Linked DNA regions of Drosophila melanogaster. The gene in region 2 interacts genetically with the main gene of each other region. Each region holds a gene or a part of one and is shown on either strand. Other genes may lie near its edges. The genes, in order: l(2)gd1 and T48.

Region 1 (11,709 bases), on a different chromosome or scaffold from region 2:
ACTAGGGTGAGGGTGAGATACGGAGTGCGGAGTGGCTGTCAAGCGAAAGAATTGTGTGTCATTTACTCGTAACAATTAGGAGAAGCGCATATACATATATCTCTAAATATACATATACATACATATATAAATCGATCTGCATAAATATCTATAGAGGCGGCATTATTGTTGTTGTTCTCGCATGATTTGTTTTGTGTTCTTGAGATTTAACTAGCCTACAAATTAAATTAGCAACTTCAATGCATAAACGGACGAGCTATCAGATCCATCGCTGGTGTTTCTACCCGCTTAAGACTGAGCAAGCTCTTGAGTAAACAAATGGTAGTTACATAGAAGCTGTTGGAACTTTCAGATCTGGCGAATATTTATCTGCAGACTGTGTAAATATTTTCACAACGAAATTTTACGAGCCTACTCAAAGATTTGCCCAGTCTTATCGTTGTGTAAGCACCTCGAATCGTAAATTGTGCTTGCAACATACAGAAACAACAAAATAAGTGTTTAACATAAAGGTGAATCGATTTCTTTCAGTGCATGAACAAATGAATTAATACTAATAGCATGAATTCATTTCAGCTATTTGCCTTAAATCCGAGGATTTCATATTAAACTTGGTCGTTATCAATTTTTTCTCCGTTTTTGGTAATTTCAATTAGTATTCAAATTTAAGGGAAACTAATTCGTAGTTTTTCTGAAATCTTACGCCCAATATGTATCTAATGCAGTTTAATGTGCAGAAAAGAGGGAAATATACTAATAGCTTAAAGAAAGTATAACAAATTATAAGGAATGTTAAATTTTGGTTCGAGACACTTAAAATGGTCGCAAAAATACACACACAGGCAAACGAAAGTCACATATCGCCCAAAAATAAATCGATTCACCCTCATTCACATGATCATTTTCGCTGCTTAAACGTTGGTATAAGCAGCTCCTGCCGAACCAGAGGATCCACCGGTCACGTTTGCTGTCACCGGTGCGCAAATCGAGGAGCTCGTTCGCCCTGTACTATCACTGGCATTAAGTCCCTCCAGCTTGAGACGCATCTCCTCCTTGCGCGTCTGGACGCTCAGAAGTTCGTCACTTAAATCGTTGCAAAGGTGGAGCAGTGAGTTGTTCTGCTCCCGCAGCCGTTGCAGTACTTCCGTGGTATTGGCCTGACCCTGTTTGAAGGACACGTGACGTAGCGAGTCACTGATGGCGGTTACTCGCTTCTCAAAGCTCTCAGCACTGGGCAGCTGACCAGTTTGGGTGGTCAAACCAACAGCTGGAGCCGGCGGTGGCGGCTGCTGGGGCGGCGATTGCGATCCACGTGGCGTTTGCGGCTTTCGGTAAACCTCGAAGGCAGAAACGCGCTGCTGTGCCTGCTGAAGAGTGATTCTTGTGGGCGGCACCACTGCTGCCTGTGGCGGTGGTGCTGCCGGCGGCAAGGAGTGTAGCTGCTGCTCGTCCACCTATAAGGTCAGAGTACCAATTAGTAAGACAATCATACAAATGGATGCGTTTATTTATATAAGCTACTGAATTTGGACACATGACACTAGTGGAGCTACGGCCAATTGTAGTGGAATGCTTTACGAGTTGCATACATTTAGGATTGGACTTACGACGTTCGCGGCGCCTTCGTCGGCAAAGTGCGTGAAATCGGCAAACCCCGTTGAGGTTTGCATATCGAAGCTGGCCTGCGCGGTGATCTTAACAAAAGGGGTTCCATATTTATATACATTTCACAGGTTATAGGTAGGTAGTTAGGCAAAATCAAGCAAACAAAAAACACAAAAACAATATAAGCAAATTCGGTTTCCCGAAGTTTACGGTTTCCTTTGCAAATGCTTAACAATTGTGGACTCTTAAAAGACACTGTATTTTCATTTCAATAAATTGAATCTGTAGCAAAACTGTATTCGCCTTCATTTGCACAGTACACCACAAATATTGAAAACAGAGACGGAACACACGGAATGTTTTGGAAGTTCCTTAGTTTGTTATAGCATTGCAGGGGATAAGTGCGGATCTACGAAATACTATCCCCTACAAGGCTTTATTTAATGACCAAGGCATATAAAACGACACAGATTGAAATTCTCAGATAAAATTGGAAATTGTTGGTCCATAGGACATAACATACCTCCGCCTGTTGGGCACCGCCCGTTGCGCCTATTTTAAACTTGTTTAAGTCCAGACTGCTGCTCCGTGCATGACGATGTGGCCTTGGCGGTGGCAGAGGCGGTGGCTCCTTCTTCGACGCCAAAGACGATGCCACGTAGGCAGCCTGCGGTTCCTGCGACTCACTTGGCCCAGTGGATCCGATACTGGGCTCGCGTTGCGGTGGCGGTGGCAATGCACTGTTCTTGGCCGGCAGCTTTTTGGCTTGAGGCCGTTGGATGGCACGCAGATCGCTGCTATCGCGGTGGGAGGAGCCAGCGACTCCCGATATTCCGGGTACAACAGCAGATGACTGATTATTGACAGTAGTCGAAGAGATGGCCTTGGGACTATCCTCGCGCTGAGCCACCGCGCTCTCGTTTTCGTTAGATGACTCAGCTGAGGAAGCGATGGCGGTGCCTACAGATGAGATAAGGAATAATTATATTTATATTCAATTTATAGAATACTATTTTAGTTCTTCTACTCACCAATGGGCGTCACTCTTAGCGGCACTGGGTGCAGAATCTGCGGATTGGATACCACGTCTTGGGCCGAGCGCTTCATATCAAACAGGACTGGCTTGAGCCCGGGACTAGATGCGCCAGAAGCGGCTGCTCCGGCTGCTACAACAGGTGCTGCCCCAGTGGTTGACTGTACCGAAACCGCACTTGTTGTTGGAGATTCGCTAAACTTTGTCCACTGACTGGAGACGTTGGTCGAGTCTACAGCGCTTGCCGTAGAGGAAACAGTTCCCGACACAGGTTTTTCCACATTCGGCGAGTTTGAGATGCTTCGGTTCTTGCCCAAAGAATTCTGTGGTGTTGCCTCACGTTTGGAACTGTTGCTAGCCTGCGAGGACGTGGATATGCTGCTCAGATTCATGATGTTCTTGTCGCTGGGCACATTGGGACGCGGTTTGCTGGTCGTACTGCTGCCGCTGAGATTGCCTGCTATGATTGTATTATCCGTATGGTCGTCCTCATCGTCATCATTTAGGTGCAGGAGATCAGCCTCAGGTGGCTCCTGAGGCAGCGCCGCCGATGACGAGGATGTCACCCCCTGTCCACTGCCGGACGCAGCTGCTTGTAGCACGTTGGGATGCAAACAGTGGGGCAGACTTGTGGGCAAGGGAATGTTGTTGCGCCGTAGAACCACCAAATGCATGGCGGCCGTAAACTCAGACAGACTTAGCGCTCCATCGCGGGTAACGTCACACAACTGCCAAATGTGACGTAGCTCCTCCACAGGAATGCGGCTCTTTTCAAAAAAGTTTCTAATAAAAAAAGGAATAAGAAAATAATAAGAAGAATAAAGTTATAAACGTTCCTAAAGCCAACTTACCTTGCTGCTTGGCCCGAAAGCAGACCATGCGGATCCCTTTGCACCGTCCTGAACTGCTTATTATAGTACTCGCGCTGTTCCGGGGTTATCTGGTAAATGGTCACCAATTCGCTCTCGTTGTCATCGTCGTCGCTGCTGTGGCGATCGGAAGACTCTTCCTCCGTGCCTAGCAGCTGGCGATGCTCGTCGCCCAGCAAACCCTGCCAGAGGGTGTCCTGCGCCCAAGGCCGCTCAGCCACGCTGTTGGTGGGCGTGGGGCTGTCACTGTTAGTGCTCCAGGCTTCTGGCGATCCACCACCAGTACCGCCTCCTCGTCGTCGCTAAAAGAGATAAGGCATGGACGGGGATCGGTCAATGGTAAGCTTATTTACAAATGTCACAAGATAAGATAGAAGTACAAACCCCGACATTTTCGCGGCTGCTGCTGCTGACGACCCCACAGCCATCCGTACCTCGTCCATGGCCTGTCGCATCGTCCACTGATTCGTTTTGCTCAACCTCGGAGTCGGTGCTGGGCACATCAGAGGTGTCTTGCAGCTGCTCTTGCTGCGAGTTACGACGCAGTGAATTTCTGCGATCTGTGGGTGGTGGCGGTGGCAAGGCAGTCAATCCATTTTCGACAGCCACCGGAGCTGTAACCGCCTCCTTCCAGCTAAAGTGCGGTAATGGAAGCGGAAACGTGGCCAAGATCAGCTCCTGGCGCAGGGGCATGGCCGCCTGATGAGCAGCGATTAGCTTCAGGCATGAGTAGAACTGTGTCCGCGAGATGTGTAGCGCCGTGGAGGGTATCCCCGCCAGACCGGTGATCTATAAGCCCAGACCCAGATAATTAATCACTCACGATCACACAAATTGGACCTACCTCAATCACGGTCTCATTGGCGATGTCCGCCGAGCGAAAGAGCTCGGTGGCCTTAAGCATGGGCACCTTGCCTGTCTTCTCCACGTCGCAGCATTGGAACAACTCACTGTAGAAGCGCGTCTCCGGCTCAGTGAGGGACACGTCCATGCCTGTCGCCTACTTGTTGCCGTCTCTGGTTTCGTTTACCAAGCCGCTGGTTAACGAGCCACGCCCCGTTCGTCCGTCCTGGACCCGGAATCCAATTCGTTTGTTTACTTCCACGTTTAACCCAGCAGGCCAGTGCCGACCCCGCTGCCCCGCGCTGCTCACAACCAGAAGTCTGATGATTTTCTGCCTTTGGCCCCCAAGACGGAGTTGGAGGAGGTGGAAGCTGGGAGAACTGCGGGGACGATGGTTTCGCTAACTTCTTGGTGCCACCACAACCACGATGGTTAGAGGATTCACGGCACTGGTCGACGAGGGTACACCTAGTGCCTCAAGCTGCTCGGCGCACAATCAATTTGGCTTTTTGTCCAGGTTTTTTTTCGCAAACTCTTTTGCACTGTGTGTGCGCTGGCTCTCGATATCGATAGGTTGCGGTATCGATTCGATTAGACAGCTGGCGCGGCAGCCCTGTACCTGTTAGCGTTTCGCAGCCCTAGTTACCGGCAAAAGTTTAGTTCCGCAGGATTGATGTTTTGTAAGGTGGCTTACCATGTTCATTTATATTTCATTATGGATTAAACTATAATAAAATTTAATGTTGCTGAATGAAGAAAAAATCATTTCTTCATTATTTTTAACGATATTTTTTTAACCGTCAACAAATTTCCTGTAGCCCTGTGCCACTGACGTCACCAATTCGCAAAGACTTTCCTGCGTCACCTTTCGTTGCACCACAGTGATCCCCACTCTGTTATTGTTGTCTGCGGCTGAACTGTTGCGACGCAAAAATTTAAAGGATTTGAAAGTCTTTATAGACTTATTTTAGTTAATAAACAGCCTCTGTGCAATCAAGGATGTTCTCCAGAAAGAAGCCAGAGCCAGCGAAAAGAAGGCAACACGATTTATCGCAGGTGAGAGGAAAAACAAACAGTCTAGATCCGTCTATTTATTAATTATGACTCATCGTTTGGACTGTCTTTTTTGTTTTTTGTGTTTAGTTCGGTCTTACGGAAATCCCAGATGATTTTGATCCCAGCGCTGGATATGGTGAGGACGATGGGGGTGACAGTGATTTGGAGGCAGAGCTTGCGGCCATAACCGGCGGAGAAGGAGCCAAGCCAAAGCCCAAGCCCAAAGCAAAGCTGTTACCCGCCAGTGATTTGGACAAAATGATAGCCGACAGCTTGCGTGATGTCAGCGACGATGATGATGATGACAATTTGGAAAGCGATCCGGATCTTCTTGGCGAGCTGAGCGGAATCGGTGGTCTAGAGGAGGCAGAGGAAGAGGAGCCTGTCGCACAACCGCCAGCTGCCTCTGAGGAACCCGTCCAGACCTTTCTGCCCACGACGACTGTGGACACATTAAGCATTATCAAACAGCGCCTGGAAATGTACAAGCAGGCCGAGGCCAATGCCAAGACTGCCGGCGATTCTGGCAAAGCAAGGCGATTTGGAAGAGGCCTTAAGACTCTGAAAGATCTGCACAGGCAGGCAGCGGCTGGCAAGTCCATTAACGTGGATGACATTCCACCTGAAGTCAGTGTAAAGCCAATTGGCGGGCAGGCTCCTCCAGTGCCTGCAGAGGAGTCACCAGCTCCTTCCACACCTGCTTCCCCTCCGCCTGTGCCTAGTCGTGCAGCTCCAGATCCACCAACCCCCGGCACCCCCGTGGAGCCCACTACATCTGTGGCTCCCACATCTCCCCCTAATCCTCTTGTGACGCAAATGCGCAGCCGCCAGACGGACTACAAAGCTGCTGCACTGCAATCTAAGCGCAGTGGTGACATATCTACTGCCCTTCAGTTTCTCAAAGTGGTCAAGCAATTTGACGTAGTTATAAAAATGTGTGAAGACGGACAGGAAGTTGATTTGAGTGACATGCCCCCTCCACCAGCTGAGTTTCTTGAATTCCTTAAAAAAATGCAAGAAGAAGCAGCCGCAGAAGCTGTCGCAGAACCTACTGCTGCCCCAGAACCCACACCTGTTGCTCCTGCTCCTGTTCTAGCAGCTGCAACAAATATGTTGGAGGCTCTGCAGCAACGTTTAGAGAAATATCAATCTGTAGAAGCGGCAGCCAAGGCAGAAAACAATAGCGGAAAAGCAAGACGCTTTGGAAGGATTGTGAAGCAATACGAAGATGCCATAAAGTTGTACAAGGCAGGCAAACCAGTGCCTTACGATGAGCTGCCTGTGCCACCAGGTTTTGGACCGCTGCCTACGGCTGATGCTGCTCCTGTCGCGCCGACACCGTCGCTGCCCACTTCGCCTACATCTCCACCGCCAACAGCAAGTACTTCCGCAGGAGGAACACCCTCCAGTTCCAGTGCGACGACACCTACAGCTCCTCGAAAAGCACCTTCACCTCCTAAGCCCAAAGAGTTAACAACACGCACGTCTGGCAATCAGCAGAAGAATAATATTGCCGAGCAACAAATGAAACTGCTCCTCGAGCGCCAAAAGGAGTTTAAGCTAGCTGCTATAGAGGCCAAAAAAGCGGGAGAAATAGATCAGGCGAAGGAGTACCTCAAGATCTTCAAGGGATTCGATTCCCTTCTTAATGCAGCGAGTAGTGGATTGCCAGTGGACCTCAGCACTGTAAGTTTTGCATTACATCTTCTTCTTGTATGGCTAACTATATATTTTTTTTTTTCAGCTTCCCGTCCCGCCTTCACAAAGGGATAATCTAGAAGCCTCCTTTGCCATTGTATCTGCTGAGGAATGCGATCCGACAGATGATATCTGTGAAATTGGTGTTCGCATGGAGGAGCAGCTGGCAAAACAACTGATGATGTGCAAAAATACGCGAGATCATCACAAAGCTATGGGAGATGTAGCAGGCATGAATCGGTTTGAAAATTTAGCCTTAACTGTGCAAAAGGATTTGGATTTGGTGCGATACTCGAAACGAAAGAATGAACCACTGCCAAAGTTTCACTATGAAAAGCGTAGCTTCAACATTGTGCATTGCAACACAGATCTCACAGACAGTGAGCTTGAAATTGTTGTGGTCCGGGGAATCAGCTACAATGTGGCCAATCCCAAGGACGTGGATACTTATGTGCGCGTAGAGTTTCCCCTGCTCAATGTAAGCTAATTACCAACATTTAAAGTTTCACCAATTATTTATATGTTTTCGTTTTAAGGATGAATCTTTCAAGACTAAAACCAATGTTATCAGAGACACCAGCAGTCCTGACTACGATGAACGCTTCAAGGTTGACATCCAGCGGACCAATCGTCAGTTCCAGAGAATCTTTAAGCGGCATGGCGTCAAGTTTGAAATATACTCTAGAGGGTAAGTTGCCCGTACATAAAAGAACTGAGCTAGAACAATTATTTAATCCGTACTAAGAAGCTTTCCATGCATATTAATCTCAACTAACGGAGGCGGTATATGATCTTATTTACGCGTATTAATTTTCCAAGGAATACTTAGTAATATCCGATGAGTAGTAATCTTCTACATTTTGAAATAGCCTTAAAGACTTAAATAAAAATATATATATAATTTTAAAAAATATTTGGCATAGATCATTTTGCGAAAATTTAAAAAGCTGTTGATTGAGCTGCATACCTACTAAATATTTTTATCCAATTTGTAGGTTTCGCTTGGGTATTAATTTGCTCTTAATATTAAGTTTCAGCTCTTAATTTGAATTATTAAATTTTTCCCGTAGTAAGCATGTTCCTTTGGTCCCGTAAAACAGTATCGTACGAGTCACGGCTTCAAGCACACATATATTTCACCGTATGTGTCTACCCATTGATCTTCTTGATTGATTCTCACAAGGAACATTTTAATGAAATATTTTTACAAATTTTTACGCCTCAATTCCCAACAATTCAAACAAAAAATAAATGTCATCCAATGCTACGCATTTAATATAAATAGCTGCAGTATAGATTGTTGTGGACTAAGTCGTAAACTGCCCCTGTGTTGTTTCAGAGGTTTTCTGCGATCGGATACGTTGATCGGAACCGTAAATGTCAAGCTGCAGCCATTGGAGACCAAGTGCGAGATACACGACACATATGATGTAAGTGATAACTACTATAATAAAATAATATAAACTTAAATTTAACCTATGTATTCCTTAAAACAGCTAATGGATGGTCGCAAGCAAGTAGGTGGAAAATTGGAAGTCAAGATACGCGTTCGCAATCCTATTCTCACCAAGCAAATGGAGCACATCACCGAAAAGTGGTTGGTCTTGGATGCCTAGGGCTAAACAAGAAAATTTAAATAAAATAGGAACGCGTCCCCTTGCGATTGTTCTCGATTAAGTCACTAAGTTATTTGTTTGTAAATATCCCTCACAGAAAATTCAATTTATCTAAGTATGTACGCTTTTGCCGATTCCTTCGCAGGAAGAAGGCATTTATATATTACGAACACAACACATATAATGTACTATAAATATCTTTATATATAAATAATATATGTATATATGATATTGCCGGCGTTAAGGCGAAGGCGCAAGTCCAGAAGATTGTGCCGGTGAAGTCAGTCCATTCCAAGAGAGACAGATTGAGAGTAGGATCGGTCCACTAGCGCCTAGCCGAAACCTGATTATGTTAGCTTTCACATTGCATAAATATTTTCTTTTGATTTATAAACTGTTTGTTGAACTACAACTCCAGATATTCGACTATTTGTGAGTAGGGACTGGTTTCATTAAACACATCCACACCGCGAACTTTATAGAAACCTGCCGACAAAAAAAGATTTCGGTTATGAAAGATGGAAATTTTGCAGGTTATGCTCACCATTGACGGATCCCTTATCGCCGGGCGCATACTGAAACGACGGATATGGCAGATGCCAGCCCTGTGAGATGAGCATCCAGTCGGCGGAGCGACCCAGATTATCGCGTTCCTTAAACCACACCTCGTAGCTGAGAAGGCACTGCGTGGATTTGGGGTGTTCCATCCAGCTAATGAACACCTCACGCTGAGTCACCTCTGCGATGGAAAGTTGCTGCGGTCGTCGCAGTTTGGGCCAAGATGCGGAACACACCCGGAGCAGCATCGCCCAGGGCAGTGGGATGCTGGCGGAGTTGATAACTAGCTCGCTGTTGTACTGCCAGATGGGTCCCGTCTTGTAGAGTCTAGGTGCTTGGGCTCTTCGCATCGCTTCCCTTAGAGTGGCGTTGGGATAAGCCGGACTTCCAGCTTGCTGCCATATGTAGTACGGATCCGTTTCCTTTGGCACCAGGAGCTCGGTGACGAAGGCCGACTCATTCGCTATCGACATGTTTAGCGTGTACTTGTGATGAAAGGCTGTCATCTTTGGACCCGCCTCCTCGGGACTCAGAAATATTGTGGCCATATACTGACCAGGACCGCCTAATCCACCGGATACTGTACGCAGGACCTGGACGCTATGTTTAGTATCCATATTAACCATTTCCACGTCCGCAGCCCGGGTGCCCAGCTTCGCCAGCATTCCCAGAGCAGCGTATACGGGTTTCTGAACGAGCTGCGAGTGCGGTGGTTTGGTTTCGTTCATCCTGAAGTGGGCTAGAAGGGTGCGCTGTGTGAACTCGTGGGGATGGTAGCTCAGGAAGGCGTTGTCATGACTAATCGACTCCAAGCGACTCAGTGGACCACCGGCCAGCTTGGCATGCCAGAACTGCATTACCGTAGATATCAGTGTGATTCCATACCGCACATCCGCCTGAAAATCCCGGGAGGTGCTCCAACCGGCCACAGGATCGGCTTCACTGAGAGATTGAAAAGTAAGGATTTCAATAAGGACTACCATGTATTTCTAGCATATTTTTTGATAATTTAGTTCTTACTCATTGGCCACCGGCAGCTGCTTGAGATTGGGATACTCCTCATAGATTTTGGCCATCAAGGAAAGCGAACCATTTACGATTTCCGTGGCAGTGCCTTCGATTCCCTTTCGGTGGAAAGTCAGTATGTCGATGGGACAGTAAACCACTCTTTGACTGCATAGCTCCAATAGATTCCAGCAGAGCGGATGATTCGAGTCCTTAAAGAGTCCTGCAGGGCCGCGCAGGGAGCGATACATGGGCAGTGGAACCTTTCCGTCCTGGTTGTCCAGGTTTCCAGCTTTACTCAAACCCCGCCGCACAGCTTGAACGTAATCCAGAAAGGTGTGTGCCGTAAAGTTTTGCTTGTTATACCCACGAAGGTCCGGTTCATTCCATGTCTCATAGCGCCAGTTGACCAATCTGGAGGAACCGTGTCGTGCTGATGAACAGACAGGAATCTGTAGGTACGCATTTGAAGAGAGTGCGTAGGCCATGCTTACCTATCTGGTGGTTAATCGTGGTCTTAACCAAGTGCTCCCAGTAGAAGGATTGCTGCATGGGGTTTTCCGAAAAAACCCCACCCAGATTGCCCATCCACTCCAGAACGGGGGACAAGCGCAGTTCCTCGTGTAGGAAATCAATGAAGTCATCGAACTTGGAAAAATCATAAATCGGTATTCCGCTGGGGTCGTACTGCCAGAATTGTATCAGCTCCAGCAGCCAGTGGATGCGAATGTGGGTCACCGCGCCCACGGGCAATGCTGCAATCAGGCGAAGATTAAGTCGAAGGGCTGGATCGCCCAGGGCGGCGCTAATCCCCTCGTGATCAATGCGTCCGGCGGGACAGAAGCCCACGCCCGTCCAAAAGTGCGGCATTGTGTGATAGACCACATCTCCGCTCGTGTAGTGGGCGTGGATCCTGGCAAGCGTCGTCAGAACCAGGAGTAGCGACAGCATTCCGTGCGATGAGCGATTCGCTCGACTTTCTCTGCGGGATTAATGACGGGTTTTGTTTTGTCTTCGATTTGTCGATGCCGCTGCTGATAAGAGTGGCTCTCTCACCTTCCCTCCTATCTCTCGGTGTGTCTGTATCTGTCGGAGTGAGCTAAACCAAAAGCTAAAGCCGTGTCCGTGACGTCACAGGCAGTGCGTCACAGTGGGTTCAGTTGGAACACAAAGTCATGCTTAACCCAAGAGATGAAATGAAAATGTTTCCAATTATCCATTAAAACCTTTAATAGTTTAACTAATAAAACATGTTAAAATTATTTTAAAATACACTGATTTAAGCTGACAACTAACTAAACTTTATGACAGTAAAGCTTATAGCCAGTATATCATTATACCATTAAAAAAATCATTTTTGACTGAAGAATTCGTGTCAAGTCTGTCTCCTAAGCTTCCTGCGAACGATTTCCTTCCTCGACCCACA
Region 2 (10,430 bases):
TTTTTTTTTTGTTTTGTTCAGCTAGAGTCGTTTGGGTCGTTTGCCCTGTCTGTGCTACCTGCTGCCTTGATTTATATATATATATATGCTTACTGCAAAACTGCATTCGGTTTTTATCTGTATCTGCATTTGCATGACACACAACCTGGCCGGTGCACTGTTATCTAACTCGAGGAGGAATGCCCGTTCCCTCTGACTTTGGCACTTGATCTACCATATATACCGCTCAAGATGAAGCCGAATGCTGAATGCAGAATACTGAATACTGTAGAGACTCCACTACGGCTGAGGCCTCATAAATTCTCTCGTCGTTTAGTTTTTACGATTGTCGGCTGGCTTTGTTTGGCCGAGGCACACACAACTGGGGGCAAGATAATAGCACTCGGAAGGCCTTGGCAAATGTATCTATCTCACTACGGTTTCTTATCTGTTAAGCCACAGAAGACAATCAGTTTACTATTTCAATAAACTATGTATAAATAAAGTGACGCAAAAGTCATCTTAAATATTATTATTATATTAATAGTATAGAATTCTGTTGGATTCTTTAGATTACCAGTTGATCTTGAGAACTTCTAATTGTGCTATAATTCTGACCCCGGCTGTAAGCACTAGCACACACAGCGCAACACGAACTCACAGATACACGCCGCTTGTATCTTTCGACGTTGGTCTATCTAAATACATGCTGAAGAGTTGAAGTGCCAGGGACCCCAAGCCAAAGAAACGGCAGCGACAACAGCCTCCTGCCAAGATCTCTGCGCCTGCGTACTGTACTCGGAAACTGGGGAACTTGGGAACTCAGCACTCGGAGCAAGACCAAAACCAAAACCAAAACCAAGACCAAGACACCAAAGCCAAAGCCAAGACCAAGAAAAGACCCAGTCTACCAAAAACTGGTCCCTGGGCCAAAGTTTGCGTGCTTTGCTGAAATTTTTACGCTGGTTCCCGGCACCCGAAAACGAAAAACTCTCTTTCAGCTCACAGAACATTCAGGTAGTCCGCCTTGGGCATTCCATATTTTTGGCCAATGTCCAGGAATTGCGATGAATGGAGTGGTCGAGGGAAATAAGAACACGGCATTAATGATGCATTAAAATGTATTCACAAAGGCGTGCAACTATTTTAACGGTCTTTAGGCTCCCATTCAGTTCTCGAGGAATTCAGGAAATGCCTGAAAATAGCGTATTATAAGGGAAATGGACTGTGAAGATTTAATGGGTTTTCAGCTAGGGAAATTCGATATTACTCCGGGCATTGTGGCCACCCACAGATCTCGACCATATCCAAATCTGATCTAAATCTGGCCAAGGGTTATGGAAAATCCCAACCAGCATATCGGCCCACGAAAAAGTGGTGCCTTTAATTATGACACATTTAAGAAAGCCACAAATATACTACGGCCTTAAGTTCACCCAAGCACCTAAATTGCTGTCGAGTCATAAGTCGAGTCGAGGGCCACAAAACTCCAAAAGAAAAGGCCGACGCAGGGAGATAGGGTTTGGAGAAAGGAGACGGAGACGGAGACAGTGAGTGTAACTTGACGAAAGTACTTTCATTTTCACGCTCATAAAATGGGACTACCATTAAACTTAAAAATGCCGTCGTAAAAACTTAAAAATCAGAAACGTAGCAGCTAACAGCGGGCCAAGTTAAGCGGCTTAAATGACATTTAAATCAGTCGAAATACCGAACGCGGAAAAGGGGAGTGAAGAAACAGAATTCGGTTGGCCAAAAAGACAGGCGACACAGTATGGAAAGGTAAACACTCGAGACCGAAGATCCCTTTCACTGGACAGGGACAGGAAGTTCGCACTTTGGCAAAGATCGAAGAACCCAAAAATGAGCAATGGAAATTAAAACTATAAAGAAACCCCAACTGGGTCTCTACCAGTCCAGCACACGTCTTCTTCAGTTTCTCCCCGTGATTACGCTTTAATCTCGTTATAATGAGGCAGGAAAATTGCTTGGCGGATGTGCCGAGCGTGCCCGAAACGGGAACGGGAATGGGAACGGGAATGGGAATGGGATTGGATTGGGATTGCAATTGGTATGGGTACATGGATGGGTATATGGAACCTGGAGCTGTGGTTGACATCCTGGTTGCCAGCTGGGCAGCACTCATCTAGCTCTCTTTCTCTCTCGAGTGCAGCTGAGATTGAATTACCAGGGAAAAAAACCTGGGGAGGACCATCTCAAACCGGGACAGACACAATGCAAAAGGCAGAGACAAGCGGCAGACAGCAGATACACTTGTTCGAGTAATCTGTTCCCCACTCTTGTGTGCCCTCCTCCCCATTTCGGAAATATGATGCCGCCAAGGCGCAGGTCGCAAACAAACCGAAGACACGATCGGTGGACACAAAAGGGTCCCAGGAAGAGTTGTGCGATAAGGTTAGATAAGCGCCGGCACATATGTATATGAATGCTTGTATACCTGAAGCGGCGGCCAAGTGAACACTTCCTTCTTTCCGCGTTGGAGCACACACGCTTTATTTGGGGCTCTTTTTGGGTCTGATAAGGCAAGCATGAATGAGTTTGTGTTCGTATAATTCTGGGAAGAACTGAGATGATGACTACACTTAGTCCATTAGCAGGGCAGATGGAAACAGAGAAACTAAGTAGAAAGCACCCATGAAATCAAATGCTATGCAACTAAAATAACTAAATAATGAACAAAATCTTAATATATTTGAAATATAAATATATATCTTAAGTATAATTTAAAACCCACCTGAATTTTGCAGCATGCCGGGCAGCACCACCGACGACTCCGACTTGAAGCCTCCACTGAGACCGCTGCTGCTGCTGGTGGGCTTCTCCTGGCCCATGTCCAGGGTGGTGGAACCGTCCAGATCGACGAGTGTGTTGCCATTGTAGAGTCCCGCGTTGCGGTACTCTTTCGCGAAGGGCGTGGCAGCCTGTGCCGCCCCCACGATTAGCACTTGGACGAGCCAGAAGATGGCAGATGGGCCGCTTTGGGCCACTTCCACCGACCGCATTTCACTCGGGCACTCACTTCACATAGACGAAAGCCAGTAGTCGATGGGAATTATATTTATTATTGTGACGAAGCGTGACACTTTCAATTAACACCGCTCAGCGGCTGCCGCCGAATGCGAAAAAAATGTGTTACTTTTGATCATTAAATTAGTTGGAGTCGGCCGACTTGACTTTGATGGGGCACCGTAAATTCAATTTGCGCTCGACGTTTGCTCTCGTCTCGCACTTGTTACTCTTTTCCACCGCCAATTAGGCAAATGATGTGTGTCGGCAATTAGTGAAACGATCGTCCGTCCAAGTCACTAAAGTGTGTCAGACGTTTTTGGCACTGCAAAGATAAGGGAGCATAAACAGTGCGATTAGTACGGTGCGATTCAGAAGTTCGCATATGTGTGCCAATCTTTATCACTTTGGAGTGGCAGTAGGGAAAGGCTATAAAACAGATTTGGAATGGGTTTGCAAGTATTTTTAGCTTTCCCAAGGGAGCAAGCGATTCCGATTTCCAAGCGGGTTTTTTTTTTATCAAGTTCAAGAGAAATGCATATCGGAATATAAGGAATACTACAAGTTTAACATTCTTATCGCAGTAAAATAAAAATAAACACAACATCTTAAGAAATGTAAAGGTATACAAATCGTAGAATGTTTCTAAACACATATAATATATCGATCTTAAACTATTTGGGTTCCAAACATTTCCTGTCTCAAAGCATTCTAATACCCATGTGCATTCGTCACTATTTTGTTTGCTACCACTTGCATTACTATTCTACACTCGAATTTCTAACGGTAACCGGACAACACACATTGCCAACAGCTGTTAGTCGTTGTTGTTGCGCTGTTAATTGGTAAGTACGCGACATTTCTATCAATCAAACATAAAAGTCCGCGTTCATTTCCATAACAATTTTCCCGTAATATGCTGCGCATGCGCAGGATAATGAAAACGAGCCCACGAGAAATCCCGCGGTGGGAATTAGGGAATCAAAAGAAATCCCACAATAAGCCCCTCGCGAATGCCTCCGCCCACGCCTCTGCATGTGCAAGCGGGATGGCCAGAGGCAGGAAGTTCTGCGTGCGAGCGAGAGGCAGCGTGCACCCTTAGCGCCGCTCATAAATGTCAATGGAAATGAAAAGGCTGATGTTATTGTTTTTTTTCGTTTGTTTTTGGATGGAAAACAGAATGAACAACATGTGGGTTTCGCTTTATTAAACATCGCCTGGAGGAGGAAATGCCGAAGAGGCTCTACACACGACAAAAAATATACAAACATTCTAAAGACTCAAAACACTATGCTTAAATATTTGCAAATTTATTTTAAGGTCTTTCAGCACAATGATGTGATGTATTGATGTATAAATTTAAGGTTACTGTTTGTAATTCATTAAATATGATTGTTTTGCAATTGATTCCAATCCAGTTTGATTACTTTTTAAGTCGAGGTTCATGTCTGAATTTCATTTTTCTGTGCAACCAGAAGGTATTTATAAATTGAGCTCAAAAAAATAAAACGCACGAAAAATGTTCAAAAAATTTGCATATGTCAGTGTAACAAAAAACCGAAATTGATGGATGGAAAAAAGTCGGCGACTGAAAAACACACACTCGCGGGCTTAAGCCAAATAAGCTCTAAACGAAACGAAACGAGTTTTAACAAAATATTTTTGCATTGCTCAAACGCAGCTCAGAGCCGTCAGAGAAACAAACACAAATGCACGCCGGGGCCAAATAAAAGCCATTCAATTAATATCCGGACAGAAAACAACAAACAAAAGTCGCTGCAATTTTTCTGGTTTTATTTGTTTTGCACTGCTCCCATTTTGTGGTGTTTGAGGGGATATGGGAATTCGATAAACAAAATCGAAATTGGCCAAAATCGAAGGGATGTACCTTTTTTTTTCTTATTTTCGTCACCACTTGTTGGTCTTTGTTTATTGTTATTATTCTTTATTGGCACTTTCGGTGGCTGCGACAGCTGCGCGAACTAACGGTACGTGCAAATCGGTTGCGCAGCGCAGACGGATTGGCAACATAACCGTAATCGTTTGTTTTTGTTTTCGTTCTTTCGATCACTATCACTTCATCGATACTTCTTTCCCAAAACAGCACACGTTTACGCACCGAAGTTTTGGGAACACATTATCCATGCTGATATAATCCACGAACTCGACTCGACTCGATTCGATTTGATTCGATCCCTCGCGCGCGCTATGTAAAATTACAGATAGTGGCGCGATTCGGTTGCTTATATAGACTTTTTGCCATTTAGACGGACCGTTTATGGTAGTTTGAAAAATGCATGAAATACATTGAAGAAGCAAATGCTGATTGCCCACCTCTAGGGATCTCGCTCTTAAGGTTGTTGTCCTCGCAAAGCACTGGCGAGGTAAGAAACTTGGCTAAACCAGGGACTGTACGCACACACTGCTTGTATGAAGACGTGAGTACTGCTTGCTTAAGAGTGGGCGGAGCTTATTTAGGCACACTGCTTGCCACCCTTAAGTGAAACTTTGGCCGGAAGTAAAATTAGGGGTTAATTGCACGGCACTTCAGCCAATCAAACCGGGTTTCAGGCCACACTTCAGGTGTTTAGTGGGAAGGGGGTCCTTTTTTTTTATTATTATTATTAGTAAGCAGCATTTTAGGCGCCCCCGCTGCTGCTGTTAATTTTCTGATGTGCCGCGTAATTTGCTTTGTTTTTTTTTTTCACCCAGTTCCTCTGCCGACGTCGACGTCAGGATAAGCGTCGCTTGACCAGCGGAAGTAGAATTATTTGTGGCACTTCAGTCGCTCGCCGATTACCCAAGTGATTAGTTTGGACAGCTAACGCGGCACATCCTCAAACGAAATGCAACGTCACAAAGTTGAGATTGGCTCACCCGACGGCTCGCCGGGCATCAAAAGGAGTGACAGCTTAGATCCCATAGCGAACACTACGATTCTATCCGTGCCGCAACGTCCCTCGTCGCCGCGACAGTTTTTCGAACGTCTGTACGGGCATTTGGAAACGCGCTCCTCGGAAAATGGGGAAATCGACGTCGGAACACACGCCCACAAGCCGCCGCCCTGTGACACGCCCTATCACAGCGATGGAGGAAGCGTCTCCTCGCCAGACATTTCCATCAGCGATGAACGCACCTCGCTAGCCGCATATCCCGCCTACGATTTCTATGGTCACGCCAAGGACTATCCGCAGCATCCTAGCCAGCAGCACCAGCAGCATCATCATCATCACCATCATCCGCCGCAGCTGGTGCACCAGAAACTCAGCTACGTGAGCCCGCCGCCAGCAATTGCCGCCGGTGGAGCTGCGAATCCTGTCCTGCCACACGCATTCCCAGCCGGCTTCCCAAGTGACCCGCACTTCAGCGCCGGCTTTTCCGCATTTCGTGAGTACTTACATTTAAAAAAGAATGGTTTCTAACAATGTGTAGAATATTTGCAAAGCTATGCAGAATCTTTAGAACTACGAAAATAACTTCTTCAGAACCTTAACTCTTACATGTTTATTTTGAGGTTTCTTAGTTCTTACACACTAAGTACAAGAGTAAATTTGAGCTACTACGAATTTGGTCCTAACTAGATATTTAGGTGAGCGGGGATTTGTACTACGGCGGGGGCGAGGATTTCTTTGGCTTTCCCTGCTTCGCTGCTTTCTCCGCCGCCGCCTTCTCCTCCCGCTGCTTAGCCATCTGGCGCAGCTCCAGGCTGAGGAACATCTTCAGGTTCGGGTCGGTGATCTTGCTCAGCACAATCTCTCGCGCCTCCTCATCGTTGTCGCCCAGCAGCTTGGCCAGCGTCTGTGCGTAGTCCAGCCAAACGCAGTTGGCGCAGCCCGACATGCAGCAGGTGGTGGGCTCGGGAGGTATCTGCAAACGATTATATAATATGCAATCTCTTGAGCCACTTTCCTCTTAGGATAGAAAGTTATTTCAGTATTGTGATAACAATTGGATCCTTCGATAATACTGCTCAATAGTTTTAGAAGTTCATAGAACTACACTAAGTTTTGTGTTACAATACTAGATCGATGATCCTTTCTTTCTAATGAACTACAATCTTACCAACTGATATTTAACCTATAATAGCAATGATAACAACTAGCTTACAACATTACCTCTATGTTTCTGAGCCGCTTCCTTCCCTTGGTGGTTTTATCTTTGGCTTTGGGAGTGTCAGTGCCCGTCGTTGTGCTATTGGGCGGACAGCCACTTGCTGCCTCCTGGGCGGCCGCATCCTTGCTGCTGGCATCATCCTGGGAGCTGCTGCCCGACAATTGGCGGGCCAGTGAGGCCCAACGCTCGGCGCCACGTCGCAGGAGCAAGCATCGCGGACAGCTGAAGCCCAGGGGAGCCAACATTTCCGCCCGATCCCCGAAAGAGTTCGAAAGTTACGATTGAAAAGGCCCAGAGGAAGTGATGAGCATTTCACACGCCTGCGCAGGTGCAGCCCAGATGAACTTGGTTCCGCAGGAACTGCAAAAAAAAAAAGTCGGATACGCAAAAAAAAACTGATTAATCGTCAGTGCTGCAATATTGAATATCCCCCACATCTTCGCACCGAGTGCGCTGGCCAGGATTATGTAAAATCAGTTGGAAAAAAATAAACGAAACTAAGGTGGGGCAACCAAGCAATGCCACACAATGAGCTGCTGCTGCTGCTGCTGCTGCTGACCCCCAAATGCAAAGAAATTAGCCAAGGAAAAAAAATAACCGAATGCCAAGAAAAAATTAAAACGCATTGAGCCGTGAAAGTTTTCGTTTACTTGCGGCTTTTTCGTTTGCTCCTGATGAGGTGGCCAAGGTGGCCAGGTGCGGAGATGAGGTTGAGGGGATATTGAAACATGGAAATGCGTCGGCTAATGAAAATGATCGCAGGTTAAGGGTGAATGGGTTAGCCATTCGTAAGCAAGAAATCAAAGTTAAAGACACTTTGAAACCTTTTCTACGAGCAGAAACGTATTCTACATATGCAAGCATTTTTTAGATTCAGAACAGTTGATATATTTAATGCTAAACCAGCTTGGTAGTTACTATAAGTACTTGATCTTTAAATTAACTAACTTACAAGCCAAACTTTTGGTCAATCTCAAAAAAATAACAAGTGTCTGAAAAAATTAGCATTGTAATTGAGCTCGGCAGGAAACCTAAAAAAGCAAACACAAACAGCAAGCGAGGAGGGTTAAGCGAGGAAGACTCATTTTTAGCCACAACAAACCGTCCGAAAGGACACTTGGCTATCGAATTACACACGTGATTTAAAAAAAAAAAAAAACCTTCGGCAAGGATCAGGGAAGAGCTTAAGCCCCTCCAGAGCCATCCGGACTAGGGGTAATCAAGCAAAAGCTAGAGATTACAACGCCCACAAAGCAACCCCTTCCCGGGGAAACCCCCCCTCCCCCCCCCCCACCATCCTAACACCACCGAGCAACTTGTCAGCTTCGCCTTGTTACATCAATTAGACTCTAAACCGCAACATTCACCATGGTGTGGGTGTTTGTGGTGGGTGTTCCTGGGTGGCAGGTGCTCGTTGTTGCAGGATGAAGTGGGGCATAATGTGCGCTTGGTTGAGCTTCATCGTCGGCGACACTGCGAATGCAAACAATCAAACGACAGAATGGAAAACTCGAAAGAGCGGATGATGCCGAGAATTTCGACGAGGATGATGATGATGATGATGGCCAGCCAGCTGTTGGCATTGTTATAACTTTCCCGGATCAGCATAGATTGCCGAAATGAAAAGCGTGGTAAAAAAAAAAACATAGAGAACAGAAACTACGTGGTAAATGCACTTTTAATGTGCACCACAAACGCGACCGACGACGAATTCTGGCAGGTGGGCGGGCGGAGAGAGCAAGAGAGGGAGGACGACGGATGGACCACGGATCGGAGTGGTTAATTATTTGTTTAACTGACGCAGCGACACGCAACCACATTCGAAAACGTTTAGTCCCGCTCATAACTTGATGGTTTGTTAATGTAAGATTAATTTCGCTCTAACATCTCCATTGTGTTGGACATAAACGAAAGTGGGTGGGCTGTGAAAAAATGATGCTATCCGACGGATGTCGTTATTGTACACACTGAATGGTGCGGGGTTTACATAACTAATAAGCTGATTCCAACTAGATATTATACACGTATTAATTGTAAGGATATCAATGTATTTGACTTTCAGTGGCTCGCAGGCGACGCAAGGAGGGAAGACAACGCCGCCAGAGGACCACTTTCAGCACAGAGCAGACGCTTCGCCTGGAGGTGGAGTTCCATCGGAACGAGTACATCTCCAGGAGTCGTCGCTTCGAGCTGGCCGAAACGCTGCGCCTGACCGAAACGCAAATCAAGATCTGGTTCCAGAATCGCAGGGCCAAGGACAAACGCATTGAAAAGGCTCAGATCGATCAGCACTACAGGTGGGTTTCCCCTTTAGCTAATTTGAATCGTTTTTTCTGTTTCATATGTACAAAGATATCATCGATTTTGATTGAGTTAAATAATATTAAATGAACATAAATTAATGGTTGATGAATAGCTCGTGAAGAGGATTTTAACTGGGTATTTATACCTGCATTTTCGAAACGGAAGTAATTTAGTGAAATGTCACTAGTTTAATTGATGGCCAACATGAAATTAACACGAAATTAATTTTACGACATTTATGCGCACACAGACCCAATTAGACGATATCATTTTTTTCCATATTTTTTTTTTTTTTTTTTTTTTTTTTTTGTGCCGGAGGGGGTTGCTCGAAATTATTTTGTACATTGATGTAATCAATTTTTCAGAAACTTTGTCGTGGCCAATGGTTTTATGAGCTCTATAATGGGTCAGGCTGCCACGACCATGCCCCCCGGAGGCGTCACTGGGGGCGTGGCGGTGGGCGTGGGCCTAAACTACTATGCCGCGGCAGCGACGCCGGCAGCGCTGCCCAAGGATAACACGCAGGATGCCAATTTCATCGACATCGATGACCAGTTCCAGCGCCAGCAACAACAAAAACAACAACAACAGCAGCAGCAGCAGCGACGTCGAGAAACAACAACGCCTATTAACATTTGCTAATACTTGCTAATTGATTACATTTATTTGAGCTTTAAACTGTTTAGATTAAGATCGAATAAAAGTCATTGTGAAAACATAACAGATTGCAGGAATTGCACTTTTCGAAGAAATCACTCACTGCTTGCCAACAAACTTACGTGTGTTGTTATGGACTCAGCATTTTGCACTTGATTTATTTATATAAGAGAGGGTTTTTGAGGGAAAACCAGGAAATTTGTTAAAAACCAAACAGCAAAACTAACAAACAATAATGCAGCCCTGGTGCTCAGCCAGCTGTTTCTGCTGCTAATAACATGGCGGAAACTATCGATAGATGGTTACATAGATGGTAACAGTGTTATTTCAAATTTAATTTATGAAAATAT

The links.
Region 1: of T48 (region 2) and l(2)gd1, changing one suppresses a phenotype caused by changing the other (phenotypic suppression), as found in Drosophila melanogaster (one study listed by BioGRID).

Annotation. Positions count from the first base shown.
Region 1 is NT_033779.5:11,101,716-11,113,424, forward strand, and holds l(2)gd1 (lethal (2) giant discs 1), read left to right. Parts: upstream 1-5,227; 5' UTR 5,228-5,349; coding exon 5,350-5,406; intron 5,407-5,493; coding exon 5,494-7,092; intron 7,093-7,150; coding exon 7,151-7,582; intron 7,583-7,640; coding exon 7,641-7,792; intron 7,793-8,389; coding exon 8,390-8,534; intron 8,535-8,600; coding exon 8,601-8,720; 3' UTR 8,721-9,126; downstream 9,127-11,709. Other genes in the region: Reps (RALBP1 associated Eps domain containing), read right to left, coding at 912-1,454, 1,608-1,694, 2,129-2,565, 2,637-3,421, 3,490-3,809, 3,892-4,296, 4,352-4,498; Idua (alpha-L-iduronidase), read right to left, coding at 9,127-9,206, 9,265-10,220, 10,299-10,716, 10,778-11,234. UniProt on the Drosophila melanogaster protein: Phosphatidyl inositol monophosphate binding protein involved in endosomal protein sorting through regulation of the endosomal sorting required for transport (ESCRT) pathway.
Region 2 is NT_033777.3:26,876,528-26,886,957, reverse strand, and holds the start of T48 (transcript 48), read right to left. Parts: upstream 5,225-10,430; 5' UTR 4,895-5,224; intron 3,332-4,894; 5' UTR 3,003-3,331; coding exon 2,735-3,002; intron 1-2,734. Other genes in the region: CG5500 (uncharacterized protein), read right to left, coding at 6,613-6,873, 7,122-7,364; ro (rough), read left to right, coding at 5,853-6,393, 9,182-9,416, 9,789-10,065.